Linked DNA regions of Drosophila melanogaster. Changing the gene in region 1 together with any one later gene gives a genetic interaction. Each region holds a gene or a part of one and is shown in the gene's direction. Other genes may lie near its edges.

Region 1 (4,639 bases):
CTTGCGCTGTTGTTGCAGAAAGAACTAGACATATCCGTATTTTCTGATTTCTTATTAGCCGCAGTTCGGCTTCTAGTTCTTATAGATGGCATTTCCTCGACGAGAAAGGATTTCGGAGTGCTGGTGCTTCCGGCCATTTTGCCTATCCCATTGAACAGGCTTCTTCGCGGCGTTAATCCGTTGACATCAGGAAATATTCCAGACGATTGACTAGGCCTGGTGACTGCCAGTCGTGGGCACTGTATGCTTGGCTCCTGTGGAGAATCTTCCACAGCTACGGAAATAGCCAACCATGATCCCTTCCCAGTCTCTTTTCCCCGACTGAGGGACACTGCTACAGGGATATTGGTGTCCACTTCCCGCAGAGCCCGTCCACTGGGCGTGACGGTGACTTGGGCGTTTGGCGGACTACTTTCAAACGTTGTGTCGCAATAGATGGCCTCGCATGATGATGACGAGTCTGTGGACTCCCCTTCACTGCCATTTTCCTCTATAATGCTAAACAGACGATTGTTCTCTTCATTTTGCTCAGTCTGTGTCTCCTCCACGGGGCTTACTGCTTCGTCGAAATCATCGTCCGAGTCGTCCTCATCAAACACTAATTCCGCTGGTCTTCGTGGCGGTGGTGTAGGCTGTACTCAAGCCGATAATGAATCGTTAAGAAAAGCATAATCAAATTTAAGTATAAGTTACCTTGTTGGCTCTTCTATCCTCTGGTATCCTAGTGGTCACCACCTCGGACTGCACTTCTGCGCTGGAGCGGCGACTAGTGGACGATACAGTACTGGTCACTGAGGAAGATCTTCTTGGCGAGATTGGTCTGGTGGTGCGGGCCAACGCACACGTCCGTCGCATGTCCTTGCAGATTTCCCTGGAGCTGCGACGCGGGCCGCTTGGTCTGTTTATCTGAGCTGCGGGAGCGGGCTCCTGACGCACTGCCAGGGAATCGGAGTCCACGTTCAGGCTCAGCATCAGGCTGCGTACGATACTGATGTTCTCCATGCGCTGGCGATGGTTTTGCAGGACGTGCTCCTCCCGAATGTCCATGATCTCTCGCTCCAAAGATATCACCCGCTTCCTGTACTCGCCGATCTCCAAGCGCTGCTTCTGCACTTGGTCCATTAGCTCCGCATTCAGCAGCTTGTACTGCTGCTCCACTTTGGATCCCATTTGCTTCTTCTGATCTACTTATTCCATACACAAAATCCAGACAGACGACGCCAATAGCTTGTTTTGAATTTTGAAATAGAGTGACCGTTGTTGTGCTATTGGAATATACCCCAGCTTAAGGAAAACTTTTTGAAAGTATGGCAACGCCGACCATGCTCTTAATTAAAATGAAATTCTTTAATTTTGGGCCATATATATAAGAAACAATACAATCCGATGTGAATATATTTTATTTTAATAATTATAAATTTGTTTGTCTCATTTGCACGACAAGAATTAGGAACCGTTGAGTTGGTGCGAATTTGATCGTACATGCGTTACCAAGGGTAATTTTCCATTTAAATTCTACACGTATGCCAAAATGCTAAAATTTCGCTTAGTGGAAGCTGTGTATATTGCGGGACACCGATTTCGATAGGCACAAACCATCGAGAGACATCGATACGTCTATGTTTCTCTTACACCTCTAAGCTGCACAATAAATTTATTGTTTTCTCGACCGATTGCGAAGAAAATCTGGATATCCGTGGTAGATAAACAATGCTGCAGCGCTAGAACCCGGAAATCGAAGTGAATACGCGTTTCGGGAGGTTGTAGATACACCTTGCAGAACGCGAAAATCGCACTGAATCAGAAGTCAGCCCACCTGGCAGTGTGTGCGTGCGTGTACGTGAGTGAGAGTGTGCTGTCGCAGTGTGCGTGTGTTTGTGTAAAAATGAAAATCAGTCGGATTTGTATCGTCGTTGTACGTCTTTTAGGCATTTAGCCAGGCTTTTACACATTTCTACAATTCTTACCAACAGTGGGAGGGACTTTCCCCCCGCACTCACAGGACACGATACACATCACATGCAACACCTGTGCACTCGAAAAACGATAGACGGATCTAGCGCGCGGATTAACTTAACTTAGGAACACGGATACGGATTATACACCATAGTTTCGGAAAAATACATTAGGGAACCGCTTGCTATGCTGTTTCATCTCCGCCAGAGAATCACGACAATCACCTGCTGAAACACCGAAGACAGCCAGCAGCCCAGAGAACCGAGAATTTCATTCACAGAAGCTACGACCGCAGTCGAAAACCGAAACCCGCTTCAAGGTGAGTCTGTTTGTAAATCCAACTCGTTTGGCTTTGTACCCATTTAGTCGATTGAGTGCATCACTCAGCACTCAGAATCCGAAGTGGTACGGACTTATCGAGCGACCTTATCAATTCTATTTCGCACGGTGCCCAGAAATTTGGTAATTTATGGCAAGTTCAGGAACCTCTTCGGTACCAGTTCCATGTAGGCAATTATCTTATCGCGCCCTCCGACAATTTCGCCACGATATTTGCGACTAATGGTTGTGTGTATGTAAAATTGCATTTTCCAAGATATGGGGCTATATCTTATAGCCTCGAGGTACACAATAAACAAACACATACCAGCGTTAGTAGGCAGCTGTATTTAGACTTTTTATAATATTTATTCATATGTCCATATTCCAGATTAATCACCATTATTTGCATATATTCTAAGTATAGCCGACAGTCCATGTCTTGCCCGATTTGATTTAATATTTGAGCTTGCATGAAATTTATTTTTTCCTGTGTCGGAGAACACGAAAAGCCTTTTCCACCGTCTAACCGGCTAAAAGGGGTGCAATAAACTCGGGTCGCTTTGATTTTCTCCTGTTCCGTCAGCGAATGCACTTTGTTTTGGTTTGTTGTCGCTTTGTCTTAATCACATTAAGCAAAACGCCCGGGCACGCGACGCATGACGACACCAAGTGTTGCAACACCAGCGAAGACCCATGGAGCATGTGGCCACCCATGCCACCCCATAACTGACCTACAAAGAGTGCATTGCTCGACGGCCGACGAAAACTAAATTCGCTGACTAGGGGTTGATTCATTCGCTTGGCTCCCTTCAGCGATGTGAGTGCGAATTGTGGCGGTTGAACTTCGATGGTATGACATAATCTGGGCTCTTACTATAGCCATTTGAAGAGGCATACAATCGCAATCTTTACATTAGATTTATTACTTGTAGAGTTAGTCACAAGTTTTAGCTTAAGCGTGCAACTTCTGGTGTCGTGGTACCGGTGTCCGGGTTCCAGTTGTCCAGCACTCCCATTAGCTGAGCAACGAATATCTGATAGTCGAGGAACGTCTTGTTTATATTCTCATTTCTAAAATGCTTTACTACTCTGCGATGGTGGAAAACAGATATCAAAACATTGAAATACAAGACTATAGAAGTTGTTATAAGTAATTTCTTTTCTCTGTACCGAAAATAACCCTCGTGGCCAATTTAGTGCGCTCTTTAAACCATCCACAAGTGTGAATGGGCTTCGAGCTCCTTTCCGTAATGCTATGCATGGCACAAAGGGTCGTCCCAGTCGCCGGGTTCAATGTCATTGGCGTGGCGTAGGCCATGGCAGCGGTGGGCACATGGCACCGACCCATCCCAACGTCCCATTCCATGGCATCCCGTCCAGGAGTCTGCCTGCTGCCGGTCTATTGTCGAGGCTGTTGTGCATGCCCCACTGCAAGTACACACAGAAATATCGAGTGCTGCTGCAGTGACACACGCAAAGACTGGTGATTGAAGGGAGGGTGGAGGTGAAGGTGTGTGGGGCACGGGGTGTGGATATGGGGTTTTATGGCCACGGGGAGTGGGCACTTGTCGGCCTTGTGTGCGGCCATTTGTCAGTCGAATTGGCTGTCGTGCATTTTTCGAGCACTGCATCACACGAGGTCTGATTGGCACGTAGTAGAGAGAGAGAGTCGGTCGTTTCTGTCAGCCTTTATGACGCTGAATTATGCTGCACTTCCTTGTGCAACCTGGAACTGAATCATAAAACTACAGTGAGCTCTCCAGCACACCGATTTCTGACTACAGTTTCGAGCCCCATGCCGAGGGCTTTCGCTTCCTCGGTGCCCCGGTGACTCATAGTTTGTGTTTGACTTGTGTTCACATCACATTTGCAGTTGCACTGCGAACACTCCTCTCTCTCAATGTGCTTTAAGCATGAAAGTAATTTTTTTGAAAGTGATTCAATGTTCAAAGAGGAAGACCAACTTCCCATTTCGAATCTTATCCGACTAAAAAATGAATTGGCACATGAGGATGTTTAGCTGAGTATTTATTTCTTAGGCACTTAGAATGACCGGGTTGTTGTTTCTAAGAGCTGTTAGTGGCTCTTTTTTTCCATGTGTAGTGTATGCAAACTAGCGAACCCAACACCGTTGTTGTCATTGAGTTCATCGTTGTCTCGTCTCGACTCTCATGATGTGTTTACATTAGTTATTTAAGCATTGTGCGACGGTGCTGAAAACCGCATTTTAATAGACCCGCCGGCAACAACGGGCTTAGCAACTGAAACAGCCACATCAAGTGCAACAATGCAATATTTATCTGTAAGCAAATATGGGCCTTACATCACACACGCGCAGCAAGCGCTGATGAGGTAGCCGATG
Region 2 (7,619 bases), on another chromosome or scaffold:
TTTATTGGTTGGGCTGCCACTGGCAATAGTATTTTCGACTAGAGTATACTTTAAGTTAACTAATCTAAAACAAACAGCTTAATCTAGAAGAACGGCTTGCACAAGGCAATGGTGTGATCCACTCCGTAGGCCACTTTGGTGACCTTTCCGTTGATGGCCGCCTTAAAGGGAAAGAACTGGTCCTTCTTGTGTCCCAGCCCCAGATGCCCGAACCTGTTCTTGCCCCACATGAAGAGATCTCCGTCCGAGTTGACGGCGCCCATGTGAAACACTCCGCATCCGATGGAAACCACTGTGGTTTCGTTGCTGAAGTCATTTCGTCCGAATAAAGGCGGCAACAGATGCTGCGGCTTGGATGTTTGCTCCACGAAGGGTCCGAAGCCGAGGATGCCAAAGCCCCAGGTGTACACCAGACCCTGGTCGTTGAGGGCCATGCAAAATGAGCCTCCCGCAGCCACATCCTTGATTTTCCCGATGGACTTCGTTAGTTTGAGAGCTCTAGGGATATTTATTTGGGTTTCGGCCAGCTCTGAGTCATCTAGCTGTCCGTACTCAGAATTGCCCCAGCCAAAGGCATCGCCCGCCTCGTTAAGGGCCAAAACGCAGTCCGAGGAGCAGCTGAGCCGCACAATCTTCTCCTTTTCCACATCTCCTCCAATCAGGGTTATCTGCCCGGCGGTGTGGTAGTTTCCCTGACCTGTTTGACCATCCGCACCCCAGCCACATGTGTAAATGCGTCCCTTTTTGGTAAGAAACATGCTGTGGTCCTGGCCGCACTCCACCTGGACCACCTCATCCTCCTTGCCGCATATATCTTCCTGCGATATCCTGTGGATCAGGGCACTCTTGCTGTACCGCTCCTCCTCTATGATGGAGCGGCCACATTGGCCGTACGAATTGTTTCCCAGGGTGAAAATGGTTCCGTTTTGGGTCAGAACCACCAGGTGAGCTCTACCCGCCGACATGCTCTTCACACGCATGTCCTCGTCTGTTTCTCCCTGAACTCTCGGCAGTTTAATGGCTGTAGGATAAATGATCACGTCAAGGTTGGCCGGATCATTGGGATTTCCCTTCACCTGGAAACCCAGTTGGGAGTCGGTGTTCAAACCGCTGCCAAAGAGCGTCTCTCCGTCATCTCTATTCACGGCGTAGACCGTGAACCCGTAGCCGGCGGCCACATCCGTGATTTCGTTGTTGTTGGAGAACTGCAAGCGGGTGGGATGGTGCACCATCTCCGTGTAGCGTTCCTTGGCCTTCTTCACGTTGGTCTGGAGACCGAGAGCGCCGGTTTCCTGAAAGCCCCACACGTAAACTCGGTGCTCATGGCTGTCCGTCGTCTTCGGTGAGTACTCCTTGATCTTCGACTTGTCCTGCGCCAGCACACCCCTCTTCGCCTTGGCGGTGTACGACCTGCTGATGCCAAGCACAATACCCCGAGTTTTCAGCATGGTATTTCGGGTTAAACCAACCATGTAATCCAAAATCATAACAAAAACGCCACCCGATATCGATAGACCCGATGACCGGACAAGTGCTGCACAGCGCGCAACGTGCTTATCGATAGTTCGCTAAGAAAAACCGCTGATACGCCACCTGACAGCCCTGGTCGTGGTCAATCGCTATCGCCTTCCGCACATCGAAATCGGATGGGCGACGTGAAAGAAACGGCTCCGGCAAAATCATTAAAATTTAATTAGTTAACCGCAAGAGAGCGCTGCAAAATTGTGCAAACAATTTGCCACTTAACGCAGTTAACGTGTGCGGTAATCAGAAGCGTGGAAAAGCGTTTATTTGTCAGGATTTGTGTGTTTTTCAATCGCGGCAGCAGCATATGTACACACACACAGGCTCACCCCCGCCCCACTCACACACACACACTCACGCCTAGGTGTATTATAATTAAAGTTGTGTTTTAAGTGTGTGTAAAGTGCAATAGCCCAGTGGAAAGTGGAAGTGATATAGAGTGCGTTCCAGGAGTTCCAGGAGCAGTGTCTTATCCCATGTCTTCCACTCCCAAATCCTGAGGATTGCCAAGGGTTAAGACCGAGAAATACGGACTCCGACTTTCCGGATAAGGATACGGATACGGATAAGGAGTGCCAGGATAAGGAGATCCAGGAGGAATATAGGAGTTGCCAGTCCAACCGCTTCGTCTCCGGTAGGTACACACAAAATATTCGGCTGCTCCTTTTTAGCTCCTGTTCGAATCTCTCACGGCTCTCTCTCTCGGCTCTCTCTCTCTCTCTCTTGACCTGCGCTCTCTCTCTTTATCTCGCCCTCGTCACCTGGTGGTGCGTAGTCCTTTGGCTCGGTCCACCACCCGCCCAGTGGGCGGTGCTGCAACCCTTAGCCCTCCGCTTTCCATCACCTTTTTTTGGGTAACCATGGTCGTGTTTACGGCAAACTGTGCCACCGATATATATGTGTGTACATATGTACCCTTTCCCTTGTCTAGATAGATGAAACAGATAAATCGTGAAGATGCTTCACTTACCATAAATCTATAATATGTTCATTGCTCAAATACTACTATAGTAGGTACTTGTGTTTTTCAAAAGCCTGTGCCAGGTACAAAAGCTTGTACTCTTAACAACACTGGGAACGAGTCCTGCCATCCTTTGCAGGACGAGAAGTCCACCCTCTCGCTGCCAAAAAGCCACCACCTCGCAGAGATTTTGCGCAGCATCTCTAAACGAAACGGCCGGCAAATGTCGCAAACTCCCTCGGCAACAAAAGCCAAAAAAAAAATACAAAATACAAAAAACAAAACCGAAACCGAAACCCCATTCGAATCCCATTCCCCAGCAAAAGCATCTACTTAATCAACCCGGGCGGGAGTGGACTCCCAGCTCCCTGAATGAGTGATCTTATGTAAACAGGCTGCCCTTTGCCTCCCACGCCCCGAGATCCAGATAAGAGTGCCCCACTTTCAGTTCCTCCATGGCTGCCCCATCCATCCACCGAAGTCGTAACTCAATGTTATAGACCCAAATGCTCCCGTTTCGGGGCCACCAATTCGTTCGTGATGGCTTTTCTTGGGGACCAATGACTATACTCCCTCGTCTGGAACCGATCTTCAACCAATACACAGACACAGCACGGGGAAACAAACTTTCCGCCTCATAAACTTGTGGGCTTGTCCCCCAAGCACGTGCAACTCTTTCTTTCTCTCAGCGAAAAGACGAACTGCTGTCAGGAAAACAATGAACGAGTGCACCGGAAAAAAACATAAATGTTTGTCATACGGGAAGCTAAGAAATCATACCACAAAGAATTCTTTAAAAATATATATTCATTTATTGCAGTAGCAGTAGGGAATCTTATCAAATCATAGTTCATAATATATTTTTTGACAATTTCTCCGCGCTAACGAACTTATCAGCAAGTTCCTTCCGATTTCTTCGGATTTTATCAGCAGTGTAATGTCAATGTCTCGGCTGTTGGGCTTATGCAAGCGCAAACAATAACAAAACAATCACCAAGCCAAAGAAATCCAAACACCGATCCGAATCCAACGGTGGTGCATTTCAGTTCATTGGCAGCCAGCCAGCCAGCCAGGCGTTTCATGTTTACCAAGTCCCCAAGCGAACCGAACTGAACCGCCCCCTTATCACTCCAGCATTTGCATAAATATAATCTTTTTCGGGTTCTTTCTCCGTTTCTATCTGGGTTCGGTTACGGTTTCACTCCCGCTTTCTCCTCTCAAAAAATAGGGAAAACACACAGACAATTCGCACAACAGTGAATCACTTTGCGACCAATGCTTCGGTTAAACAGGTACTTCTCCGTATCTCTAGCTAACGCAAAAACCTTTGACTAATCGATGGTAAAGTAAACAAAAACACTCGTTATCACATGGAGATTATTATGGCCAAAATTCGAACAGGAAGCACGATTAGAAGTTTACCGGCAAAACAAATTTATGCATTGCCTGCATTTCTTATTATATACGTATGGGTCAGTTGCTAATAGATATTGCACCGAAATGCCAGAATTGAATGGCATTAGAGCTCTCGAAAACACTTTCAGCTGACTCAGCCTCTCGTGTATGACCTAACAGTCATTGAAAAGCGAAACCAAGATTGGCCTAGAGTCAAAGACCGAGTAGAGCGTTTTCTCAACGTGGCCCACACTTATTGATTTTTAATTATCCAAAGATGGCCCTCGGCTATGACATTGACTTTGATTTTGTTGGCTCGCCAACCTGGCCAACGAACTCGGGAAGCCTCTCTAGAGATCTCTGGCCGAAATAACCTTCTGTGCCGCCCGCTAACTGCCTTATGTCACTCGGTAAATCTCGGTTAAGAAACCAATTTCCCAATACCCCCGACCATTCACGTTCGTGACTCATTGCGGTCGAATGTCTCAGTTGATTTCTGTGTCTTTCTTGGCCTGAAATGGCCCGGATTTTGAGTCTCTGGTTCTCCAGCCTCGGTGAGGCTGCCCCGTTGAACAAATCAATACCCGATGGCCACTTATTCGCTCGCCTGGCAATTGGATTCAATTGAGTGGAGTCAGTCGGAGGCAACTTTCACTTGCACAGATTTTAATTGCCCCACAACTGGAATGGCCAGATCCCTCAGCCCCCATATCCATCTCCCGCTCATATTATCATCATCATGATCATCACAACACAAACACTTCACTCATTCATCTTCATCGCCGGCTCGCTGACCCCAAAAACAAACATTCATCTCTCGGCTAATTTTGAGTTGATTTCCTATTTGGTATTTCGAGTTTGAGTACTTGCATTGTATTTTTTAAGCTAATCATTTTTACGCTCTTTAGCTTCTTCAGTGCGAAACAATTAAGCCTAATTTGCATATATCATTTGCTCTCTTTTTCTTTCTTTCTTCGTTCGTTGCTTATGTTATTGCGTTGCTTATGTTTACTTTGCCACGCCTACGCTTCCGCCCACGCTCACGCCCATTCGCCCCCTGAAACCACGCCCACAGCAATTATGCATTGGCTAGAGGCGATTTGCAGCAAGCTTAGAGTGCCAGCGAGCAACTGCAACACATAACCAAACCATCAAAGACTTGTTGTTCATCAACTCCAACCCCAACTCCAAGTCCACCAACACTGAGCCACCGCCTCTTGCCTCCAGGAGCATCACCAGGAGCATCAGGGCAGTCCCAGCTGGAGGAGCAGGAATCCCCCCGCGGCGGAGGAGCAGCCAGTCTGGAATGTTGGAACACCCCCAGCGGTTTGTGCGCAACATCCCCGACTCCTCAGCCAGTTCGCAGCAGTATCCGCAGCAGCAGCAGCATCCGCCACAGCTGCCGCAGCACCAGAATCTGAATCTCAACCAGAATCAGAACCTGAACCAGAATCAGATCTACCAGTACCGTCCCCAGGTGCCCGTGCCCGTTCCCGGCTCACCTGCCCATCACCAGCGGCACTCTTCGCTCTCCCAGCAACAGCAGTTGCACCACCACCGCACCCTGTCCACCGCCTCCTCCTGCAGCGCCCAGCACAAAAGTGTGACCTTCGGCCAGCCAGCGCTCGACTGCGGCGGCAACGGCAGCGGAAGCGCCAACGGAAGCGGTAGCGGCAACTCCTCCAGTGGCAGTGCCGCCGGCAACGCTGGAACCCAATCAATGGCGGGCAACATGAAGCACGGTGAGCAACTGCAACACAATAACCTCACAGCGAGAAGAGCATTGGGTGTAGTAAAAGGATCTAGGATTTGTATGCTAATGAATTTGTGGTTCTATCATACTGGCCCATTTTGCTTTTCTAACTGTGTGTGCACTTGGTACTCTTCTAACCTGTTCCTGTTAATCACTCCGCAGGCAAATCTCAGGACGACGTCTGCTACGTGGTAGCCAAGTACGACTATGCGGCGCAGGGTGCCCAGGAGCTGGATCTGCGCAAGAACGAGCGCTACCTGCTGCTGGACGACTCCAAGCACTGGTGGCGCGTCCAGAACAGTCGCAACCAGTCCGGCTACGTGCCAAGCAACTATGTGAAGAAGGAGAAGCCCTCGCTCTTCGACAGGTGCGTCAGATTCCTGGCCCGACTAAACCTAAGCGTTCTTCTTGCTCTGATTTCAGCAGAATTAAGCCCTCTATACCTGTATCTGTATCCGTATCCGTAGATGTATCTGTATCTCTATCGCGTTCAAATACCCGCCTCCACCTTTTGCTTTGGCTATCGTAATTTAACTTATAACTGCTTTCGGCTTTTGTATTTTGTATTTCAAAACAACAAATTCGTTTTGATTTCGTTGTCTGTCGAGCCCCACTTGCCCCTAAAAACTAAAGATCCACTAACACCCAAACCAACTAGGGCTAGTCTAACCCACTTTAAACCGCCAATGAAATCTAACCATAAAACTTCATCCCAATACTGATCGTGAATATTTTGATTTACGATTTCTGTGCAGCATTAAGAAGAAGGTGAAAAAGGGCTCCGGATCGAAGACACTGCCTAATTGTTCGCCTTCGCGACAGGTCGAGAGTCCAACCATGTCGCGCCGACTTCCCCCAGATCCCGCAGAGGCCATCGGAACGGCTGTGGTCAAGTATAACTATCAGGCCCAGCAGCCCGATGAACTTTCGCTGACCAAGGGCACACGAATCCTCATCCTGGAGAAGTCCAACGATGGATGGTGGCGTGGACAGAGCGGCAATTCCGTCGGCTGGTTCCCCAGCAACTACACAACGGAGGATTGTGATAACGACGGCGAGATCCACACCTACGCAATGGCCGAGAACGTGCTTGATATTGTGGTGAGTAACTGGACGTGTTCTCAAAATAAACATTCACATCATCTATGAGAGGTTGTCATTATTGGCTAATAACAACTATTTTCAAATATATAGGTCGCGCTGTACAGCTTCACGTCAAACAACGACCAGGAGCTCTCGTTCGAGAAGGGCGATCGCTTGGAGATCGTGGATCGGCCCGCCTCCGATCCGGACTGGTACAAAGCTCGCAACAATCAGGGCCAAGTCGGTTTAGTTCCACGCAATTATCTCCAAGAGTTGAACGACTACCTGGCCACGCCCTATCGTAATGCGAGTGCCAGTGCAGGAAACGGAAATGGAGGAGGAAGTAATGGCGGCGCAGGTGGTGGCGGAGGAAACGACTCCATGGAGCGGCGCAATGAGGGTAATAAGCCGGCGGCGCAATCTTCCGGCCAGCCAATCGAGCGGCCAAATCTGGCGGGCAAGTCGTGGTATTATGGAGCCATCACCCGCAGCCAGTGCGACACGGTGCTCAACGGCCACGGGCACGATGGCGACTTCCTCATCAGAGACAGTGAGACTAACGTAAGTGGAATTCGCAATTGAAGTGCCATAACATAGTTCCGCCCGAATTCTTTGAGAGTGTATAAACGAATTCATCCTTTCTTGCAGATGGGAGACTATTCGGTTTCGTTAAAGGCCCCAGGGCGCAACAAGCACTTCCGCGTGCACGTGGAGCAGAACATGTACTGCATTGGGCAGAGGAAGTTCCACTCGCTGGACCAACTGGTCGATCACTACCAAAGAGCGCCCATCTACACGAATAAGCAGGGCGAAAAGCTGTATCTGGTGCGATCGCTGCCGAAGGCCAATGGCACGTAAGCAGGTCCAGGACTGGAGCAGAGAAATCTCAGCATTCATATTACC
Region 3 (7,930 bases), on another chromosome or scaffold:
CGTTCAAAGATCCTGCTCTTGAGTATGGTGTCCTGGCTACTGAAGCACTCGCCACTGCCTACATCCGCCTGGCGAATCAGTTCACCCACCGCCGCACAACTAGAACCCCCGTAGCTGTATATGAGCAGACTGCGCTGATCCTGCGAGAAGGCCAACAGTTTTCTGCCATCCGGCGTAAACTTGCGCAGGTAGATCGGCGGAATGGTAATCGAGTCAATTGTCAGGCAAGGCGTGATGCACTTGTAGAAGAGACGCTCGTAGGCCAACAGCGGCATCCTGCCCGGCTGTTGGCCCACGTTGGTGTATCCGGACTCGCGGTTCTGCAGCAGATGCACGAGGTTCTGCGATTGTAGGCGCTTCTTGTAGGCCATTCTGACAGATCCTGGGAAAGTTCTGCCAAGTTCCTATTCCTAATGTCAGCCGGGTTCTTCTTCCGATCGGAAGGTAACTAAAGTAAAGTGTGACCGCAGTTAGATTACAAAAATTTACTCTGTCTACAAAAGTTTTGTTGTTAAAAAATATAAGTATAATAATAATAATATTAATGCTTTTCAAGATTCAAATAAAAAACGTTATTTATAAATAAAATAATTCAATACATCTTACTTTACTTTGTTTAAAAAAATGTGTAAATGAATTATCTATGAAAAGCAAATTTAGATTTATTTATTTTTTTTTTTAAATAAAATTATTCTTGAGTGCTTTTAAATGCTCTAAGTATATTATGTATTTCTGAACCATTAGCCTCTTTGATTACGACACCGTTTCATAAACATTTGATGTATAACATTACATATATTTTTTTAATTTTTATCATTAAATATCGTCAACTTTTAATTCCAAACTTGGTTTTACATCACCTCATCTTTAGCTTACACAAATCCCGCGCAAACGTTCTAACGGTTTTCAAAAAACAATGTATTTTTCGAAAATTTTCGGAATTTTAAATTACTATTTCACTTTATTCAGAGTCGAAATGTTCGCAGACATATAAATATACACATCTGTTAGGGATTACGTTGCCCATTCCAGTGACTGCCAAGCGGAGACTATAGTAAGCTTAGACATTGTAGCCTACAATGTGACGCTTGCCGATGCACTCGCCGATGTAGAACCAGAAGATGACCTCGGCGGTCACCAGGGTGTTAAGCCAGGCCTCGCGAACCGTGAGGTTCTTGTAGGCGCCGGTCTTGGCTCCCTTGATGATGTTGCCCAGTCCTTGGCGAATGGCCGGAATATCGGCGGGCGTCGGGGGCGTCAGTTCCACCTTGGCGTACTTCAGGAACACGTCCAGTTGGGGCCTCGCCTGTGTGAGGAGCCCTGCAAAAAGTGATCATTACATAATTTTGCGATTGACAGGCGCCAATGGTGGTGTATCCATTCGATTGCATTCGATTCACGACACTCACTGTTCACAAGTCCTGATCCCTTGGTAGCCAAACTCGCCATCTTTTCAATTTGGTTCTGCAAGCAGTTGGAATTATACAAGAGGAAATCAACGAAATGTGCGGAAAACTTACCTATTCAGTGTGCGACGAAACAGAGATGTTATGCATTGGGGCCAGGGCTGGAGCACTAGTTATCGATCGGCGGATAAATACCAAAAATACCAAATATACATTTCTAAAGTTAATGGAAGAAACTGCAAACAGTAATTTTAAATAACGTTAATAAAATAGCTTATTATGGATAATATAGAGTTAAAATAAAATAAAATAAATTGAATATATATTTATATTTAAAATATTTCATTCTATACAGTAAATAAACAATATGAAATGAGTTACTGAAAATTCCCTTGCAAAATTTATTTAAATATAGTAATTAAAATACATATTACATTTAATATAAAAATAACTTTTTCCCCACCGCATCGTGCAGTATATTTGTCTGATTTTCCGAAATGATGAATCCCTGCAGTATTTTCGAACCACAAAGCTTCGGTCACACTGCAAAGGTGTGGAAATCTTAGTTTCCACAAAACGAGCAAATATTTGCAGTTTTCAAGCCCCAAATTGGCTAATTAGAGTTCGCATCGGATCGAATTTGCCACCGAACCCCCGAAACGGAAGTGGCTGCTTAATGTTTGTTGTGGTGCCAGCCGCCAAACGAAAAGTGTGACGGGCGGTGAGTGTACGATATGCTGTAAAGTGAGGTGGACTGTGTAAAACTAAGCTGCGCCGTTCAAAACCAAAATCAAAATCGCAGCAGCCACTACGATTAGAAAGTGTGAGAGATACCTTTGTGTGTGCATTGTTGCGATTTAGTGCGAATGTTTCAGTGCGAAAATCTGAAAGAGTCAGCCGTTCCGTCCCACACATATGTATGTACATTTACTTGGGTGCTGCTGCTGCTGCGGTTCATGCGTGTGTGTGAGTGCGTGACGGTCTAATTTGCGTTGGTGGGAGGCCGCCGACGATATACGTATATGCACGTATGGAATAGGTGCCCACGTAAAGGCCCCAGGTCGTAGCACCCAGAAACTGCCACCGAAAAGGGGGGCATTATCGACTAATCTCGCCGGGACTGCAAGGTGCATCTTGCGGGGGTGACTTGGGCGTTACGCCCTTATCACCTCGCTGTGGGTATCGTTTCGTGGGGTGTGGTCCAGACGTCGAGTTCGTCAGTCGCGCATATCACAAAACAATTCAAATGGCATTTTGGTGATTGTAATGAACACGTCTCATGGATACATGGATAAGCGTCTCGTGAAATCTTCTGCAATACCATTCTGAGTCTTGTTCATAGACGGTTTAGTATAGTGATGACAAAATTTCTTTTAAACCAATTTTGATAGTATCCAATTAACTTTTTAAACGTCTACTTTTACGGGAAAATTTATAAACAAAGTTAAACGACAATTTGGGAAGTACAATTTTATCGGAATGAAATGTCTTCAATTGATAATCAGCATAAAAAGAAATCTTTTTATTATTGATCCCAATTTGGCATGAGATTATGTAGTAAATCAGTAAATAAAGGGTTTTATATTTAATTAATTTTAAATGCATTAATTCGTATTAAAACAATTTATTACTTATTAATGCCGTTTTCAGTCGATGAGGACGCACTAATTTACGGGTTTGCCAATTTGGAGATAATTGTCAATCGCGCCCGACCATGCCGCTGCCCAAACGATCCATAGAACCCGTGCATGTGGCCCGCTCCGTGTATCAGCAGGATGAGCTGCAATCCGTGGAGCTGGAGACGGTCACCAACACCACGCTGACGAACATCATTCGCCAGCTGTCCTCGCTGTCCAAGCACGCAGAGGATGTGTTCGGTGAACTGGCCCGCGACGTGGGCAACATCGGGGATCGAGCTAACTCCCTGCAGGCGCGCATCGATCGCCTAGCTATCAAAGTTACCCAGCTGGACAGCACAGTTGAGGAGGTGCCCTTGACGGACATTACCCGAAAGAAGGCCTTCAAGTCGGCCAAGGTTTTTGATCAACAGATCTTCTCGCGCGCCACCATGCCGGCACCAATGATGGACACATATGCCCAGTGCGACAAACCGCCGCCCCTCGACAAGCTTAATGTCTATCGAGACGATGGCAAGGATGGTCTTAAGTTCTACACGGATCCGAACTACTTCTTTGAGTTGTGGCGACAGGAGATGCTGAAGGATACCGAACGTGTGATGCACGACAAGGGCAAGAAGCTGAACAGACCGCGGCAGGATGGCGGTGCCGGCGGAGCTGCTGGACGTGGCAATAAGAAACAGAAGACCAAAATAAGGGTGCCGCACAATACGCGCGAACAGCAGCGACAACGTGCACTGGTGCACGGCGAAACATTGATGCCCAACAACGTCATCTACCGCACACCGAATTCCATGGTCAACGAAGAAGCCGGATACGGAAGTAAGTACTTGGCGAAAGGGATTGGTCTCCGTGTGAGCCAAGTATTCAGTGCGAACCAAATTCATAGGCTGTTATTGGTACGTTCGTTTCGCGCACTGACTATTTGCACTTGTCTTGCCTATTGAATGGTACATCTATTTTAATTATCAATTATGTCCTGTCTGCCCGTGTAGTTCAGCTAGTCAAAATACAGACTGTGGGCGAGGCTGACATCGATTTGCGGCATAGCACTCTCGATGCGCACCACCAAGTTGTCGGTAATATCCAAGACGTAGGTACGATGATGGGGCCACGTAGCTTTCATTTCCGCCCGGCAGACATCCCACGATACAGATGTACCCGCCATTCATTCACCTACTTCACTCAAAAGCTCGCTAGTTTTCGATGCGCCTCAAAACCCAGTTCGAAGATCACTAATTTGTATTATTTTGAAGTTGCTATTAATTGAAATTAACCCACACAATCATGACCCAGAGAAAGGTGACCGAAACAAAGTTTCCAGAGCTTAAAAAATAAATGAAATGGTACTTAACATAAATTCCATCTAAAGTTTGATTAAAATCTCAGATACAGGATATATTCGATCTAATTCATTATTATTACACCATTAGCAAAATGGTCTATGGCCAGTCTAGTTCATCCTCCTGTAAGTTAGCAAGACTTTCGAACTTGATTTGTCTCTAATTTGAATTCACTGACTTTGTTCCAATGAAGTTCGTCTTGTTGATGGTAAATACAATACGGTCAGAGAACCTTACAATTTCATTCTCCGAATGGTCGATTATTTTTCGCAGCTTTTATTTATTTGCATGTTGTTTTTATGAACTACTCTTTCGTTGTTTTCGGTTATGATATTAATGAACGTGAACATAAATATGCATTGCAATTACGAATGGATCAATCGCGCATAACCATCTCATTTACAGATACAGTAAAGCCTTATAATATGCTTTCGCATTTGGAGAATAACAGTAATGTCACCAAGCAAACCGCCGTTGCGATTGCAGGTTAGACATCCACATCCACTTTTAGCAAGCTCAGTAAAGACTATATATGTTCTTTCACTCGCTTCTATCCCCATATTACCTTACTAGCAATCCTTTTTGAGTTCCTTTAGCATTTGTGTGTACAGAGAACACTCTCTTTTTCAAACTATCAATCGGAATGGCGATGATTTATGAGTTTCATTGGTCATGCAAAGTGCAGATTTATTATCTCAAAACACTGTAAACTAGTCACCTTCTAACTTGCAATTTTAATGTAATGTGTGTGCACATTATATTTACAATGCATCTTGCATTTTGCATAATACTTTAATTCATTTCATACTCGCGATTCGTGATTGAGCCGCAGTTTTTGTTTAGGATCCTCCTATCTTTCTGTTGTAGTTCAGTCAATTTCCATATCTACGTCTACATGTCACTCTGCAGCTTTACTAATTCCTTTCTGTCGCCACATCTTATTCTACGAAAGTATCTCTAAATTGTTTTCTGTGCAACGAGCTAACAAAGACTTTTAATCGGATGTTTGTATATTCAACAAAATTTCTATTCGAGTCCAGCGGTCTCATATGCACAGAAATTTGGAATTGCTTGTAATTACATATGTGTCTTATTGTTCCTCGGCTGTAATTACAAAATAATTGGCGTGTTTTTAAATGAGATGTGTGTCCTGTAAAAACGTTCATTTTAATGGGTGGTTAGTCAACGGCTCTAATATCTCACATTCATTATTCTAGATATGGGAGTGTACGATACACGTCCGCCACGTCCTAACTCGATCGAATTGAACCGAAGCTATCAGTCGGAGCAGATCGATGGTAGCACCTACGAGCAGCTTCCACCGCAGATGGGTAATCAGTATGCTGCCACCTTCGGCAACGGCATGGGTGGCCCCCAGCAGATGCACATGCAGCATCAGCAGATGTATGACGCCGGAATGTATCAGTCGCATGCGCTGTACGGCCAAACTGGACAGGGAGTGATGTCGCCGGAGCCCATCTACGGACCGGGAACACCGTCGCGTAACAAACCGCGTCCGTCGCAGCCGCCACCGGCTCCGCCATCGAATGGCAGCGGTGGTGGTACGCCCACAGCCTCCAATGCCAACACTCCGACAAGGGGCAGAAGTATGTCGACCAGTCGGGATGCCTTGCCACCGCCTCCACCAGTTCCAGACGTCATTTCACCAATGTCTGGCATGAACGGAGTCAACAGCGGGCATATGGCGGCCAAACTGCTTGGCCGGGCGAACAGTTCGTCGGGAGCTGGATCTCCCAACAGCGTCCAGAATGCCAATGATATGGTCATGACGCAACTGAGCAATACTTTCCACAGCATCGGTATGACGGGCAATCAACTGAACTCCCTTAGCGACTTGCCGCCACCGCCGCCGGTTCCAGATCAGGTTTGTTGTTCACTGATGGGTGTTAATATATCACAATTTGGTTTAATTTGTGGCAAAACCTTACAGCACTCGCCTAAGATGTCGCCACCTAATGCCGCGCCACCACCGCCGCCGCCACCGCCTCCAGTCGAGGAAGGCATGGGCAGTGGCAACCAACACACGCTGCGCCCGCATCAAATTCTTCCCAAATCACTGGCCAATGGCGAAATGCAGCAGCCCGGCCAACAAAATGGTGTGCCTCACATTGTCGCACCCAAGAAGATGCTGCCTCCATTCCATGACCCACGCAACGACTTGATGAAGGCCATTCGAGATGGTAAGTAATTGCCATTCAAGGTTCGAATGCAAAAATATCATCAAATTAATCTTTCCAGGTATTACTCTACGTAAAGTTGAAAAGTCAGAGCAAAAGGAAATTGAACGAAACGCGGCGCCATTGGATGTGGCTTCAATCTTGGCCAGACGTGTGGCTATCGAATTATCCGAGTCCGAGGATTCGGATAGCGAAGACGACAGCGAGGGCTGGATGGAACCGAACGAAACATCGGCTTGATCCCTGATTAACTCGTTAAAGCCTGACATAATTCTAAAAAACAAAAAGAAGAAGTAATTCCAAAGAGAATTAATCCATACGATGGTCGAAACCAAGCGTGGTATGAAATTGGATTACACAAAAGCACCAAAGCTTTTCTACCACCCTTTATACAATATACACCTAATCCTAAATAATATGTCTAAAATCAAAAGTTTCATTGAATTGTATATACACCAACGAGTAATTATCGTTAAATTAATCGCTATAGTGAACGAACGCATTTGCATTTTAAGCCTAGACGACAATCCAAGGAAAGCGATTTAAAAGACTTGCTAATTTTGTTCGCTTCTTTGGAGTCAAGGTCTGAGTAGATATGGGCTTCTGTATCATAGTAGTCGGTGTTTGGATATTAAATTATAAATAATCGATATTATCACTGAACTCAATCCTACCCCAACTTGCAATCGATACGATTAATATAAAACATTTATCCAAAATGAAAATTTAGAATTTTGTAAATACAAACACATTAAAATATATCGAACTCCGTAGCATTTCAGTATACTCAACAAGCTATGAAATTGTATTATCCTTGTGAAAGTTAAATACCTGTATAATTAATAAAATATGTTTCACGAATATAAGCAGCCATGAATGTGTGGTTAAGTAAGCAAACATGGATGTATGTAATTTTTCTTTACATAAACTAAAATATACAATAAAAAATAAAGTAATTATATTCCAAATTAATGAACATGTCTTGATAGATAACTTTAAATGTTTGTTTGGGAATTTCCTCTGGTCTTATGCTTAAATACCAGAATCTTAATCCTCAATTTTGCTTTTGTTTGAAAAAAGAGCAGTAATGCATTTCAAATACAAAATATTTAGTCATAAATGCTGAAGTGCTTAGCAAAAGTAAGAAAGTATTGAAAAAGTATAAATGTCTGGGCTAGTTTCATATATGGCCTCTTAGTAAGGATTAATACTCCATTCTAAATTATATCCAATTATAGATAATAAAACTTCTTTTCGAGCGCGTTTTGCGGAATAGAGTGCAAGTTCGTACCCACGAGGGTAGCTAGCTTCTTAGCGTACTGGCAAACTGCTGGCACTCGTGTGGT

The links. Genes that interact genetically often act in the same process or in processes that back each other up.
Region 2: of Vrp1 (region 1) and dock, changing one enhances a phenotype caused by changing the other (phenotypic enhancement), as found in Drosophila melanogaster (one study listed by BioGRID).
Region 3: of Vrp1 (region 1) and SCAR, changing one enhances a phenotype caused by changing the other (phenotypic enhancement), as found in Drosophila melanogaster (2 studies listed by BioGRID).

Annotation. Positions count from the first base shown.
Region 1 is NT_033778.4:22,119,529-22,124,167, reverse strand, and holds the start of Vrp1 (verprolin 1), read left to right. Parts: upstream 1-1,605; 5' UTR 1,606-2,275; intron 2,276-4,639. Other genes in the region: mei-S332 (meiotic from via salaria 332), read right to left, coding at 1-632, 694-1,170.
Region 2 is NT_033779.5:824,350-831,968, forward strand, and holds the start of dock (dreadlocks), read left to right. Parts: upstream 1-1,619; 5' UTR 1,620-2,158; intron 2,159-4,955; exon of another isoform or gene 4,956-5,107; 5' UTR 5,108-5,186; coding exon 5,187-5,622; intron 5,623-5,795; coding exon 5,796-6,000; intron 6,001-6,388; coding exon 6,389-6,734; intron 6,735-6,827; coding exon 6,828-7,277; intron 7,278-7,364; coding exon 7,365-7,574; 3' UTR 7,575-7,619. Other genes in the region: CG3862 (uncharacterized protein), read right to left, coding at 84-1,448. UniProt on the Drosophila melanogaster protein: Adapter protein that links cell surface receptor tyrosine phosphorylation to downstream signaling pathways and effectors, many of which are involved in regulation of the actin cytoskeleton.
Region 3 is NT_033779.5:10,974,842-10,982,771, forward strand, and holds SCAR (SCAR), read left to right. Parts: upstream 1-1,930; 5' UTR 1,931-2,229; intron 2,230-3,056; 5' UTR 3,057-3,120; coding exon 3,121-3,865; intron 3,866-4,038; coding exon 4,039-4,140; intron 4,141-4,791; coding exon 4,792-4,872; intron 4,873-5,603; coding exon 5,604-6,271; intron 6,272-6,337; coding exon 6,338-6,587; intron 6,588-6,645; coding exon 6,646-6,824; coding exon of another isoform or gene 6,825-6,881; 3' UTR 6,882-7,554; downstream 7,555-7,930. Other genes in the region: abo (abnormal oocyte), read right to left, coding at 1-371; ATPsynG (ATP synthase, subunit G), read right to left, coding at 1,061-1,320, 1,410-1,449; piwi (P-element induced wimpy testis), read right to left, coding at 7,817-7,930.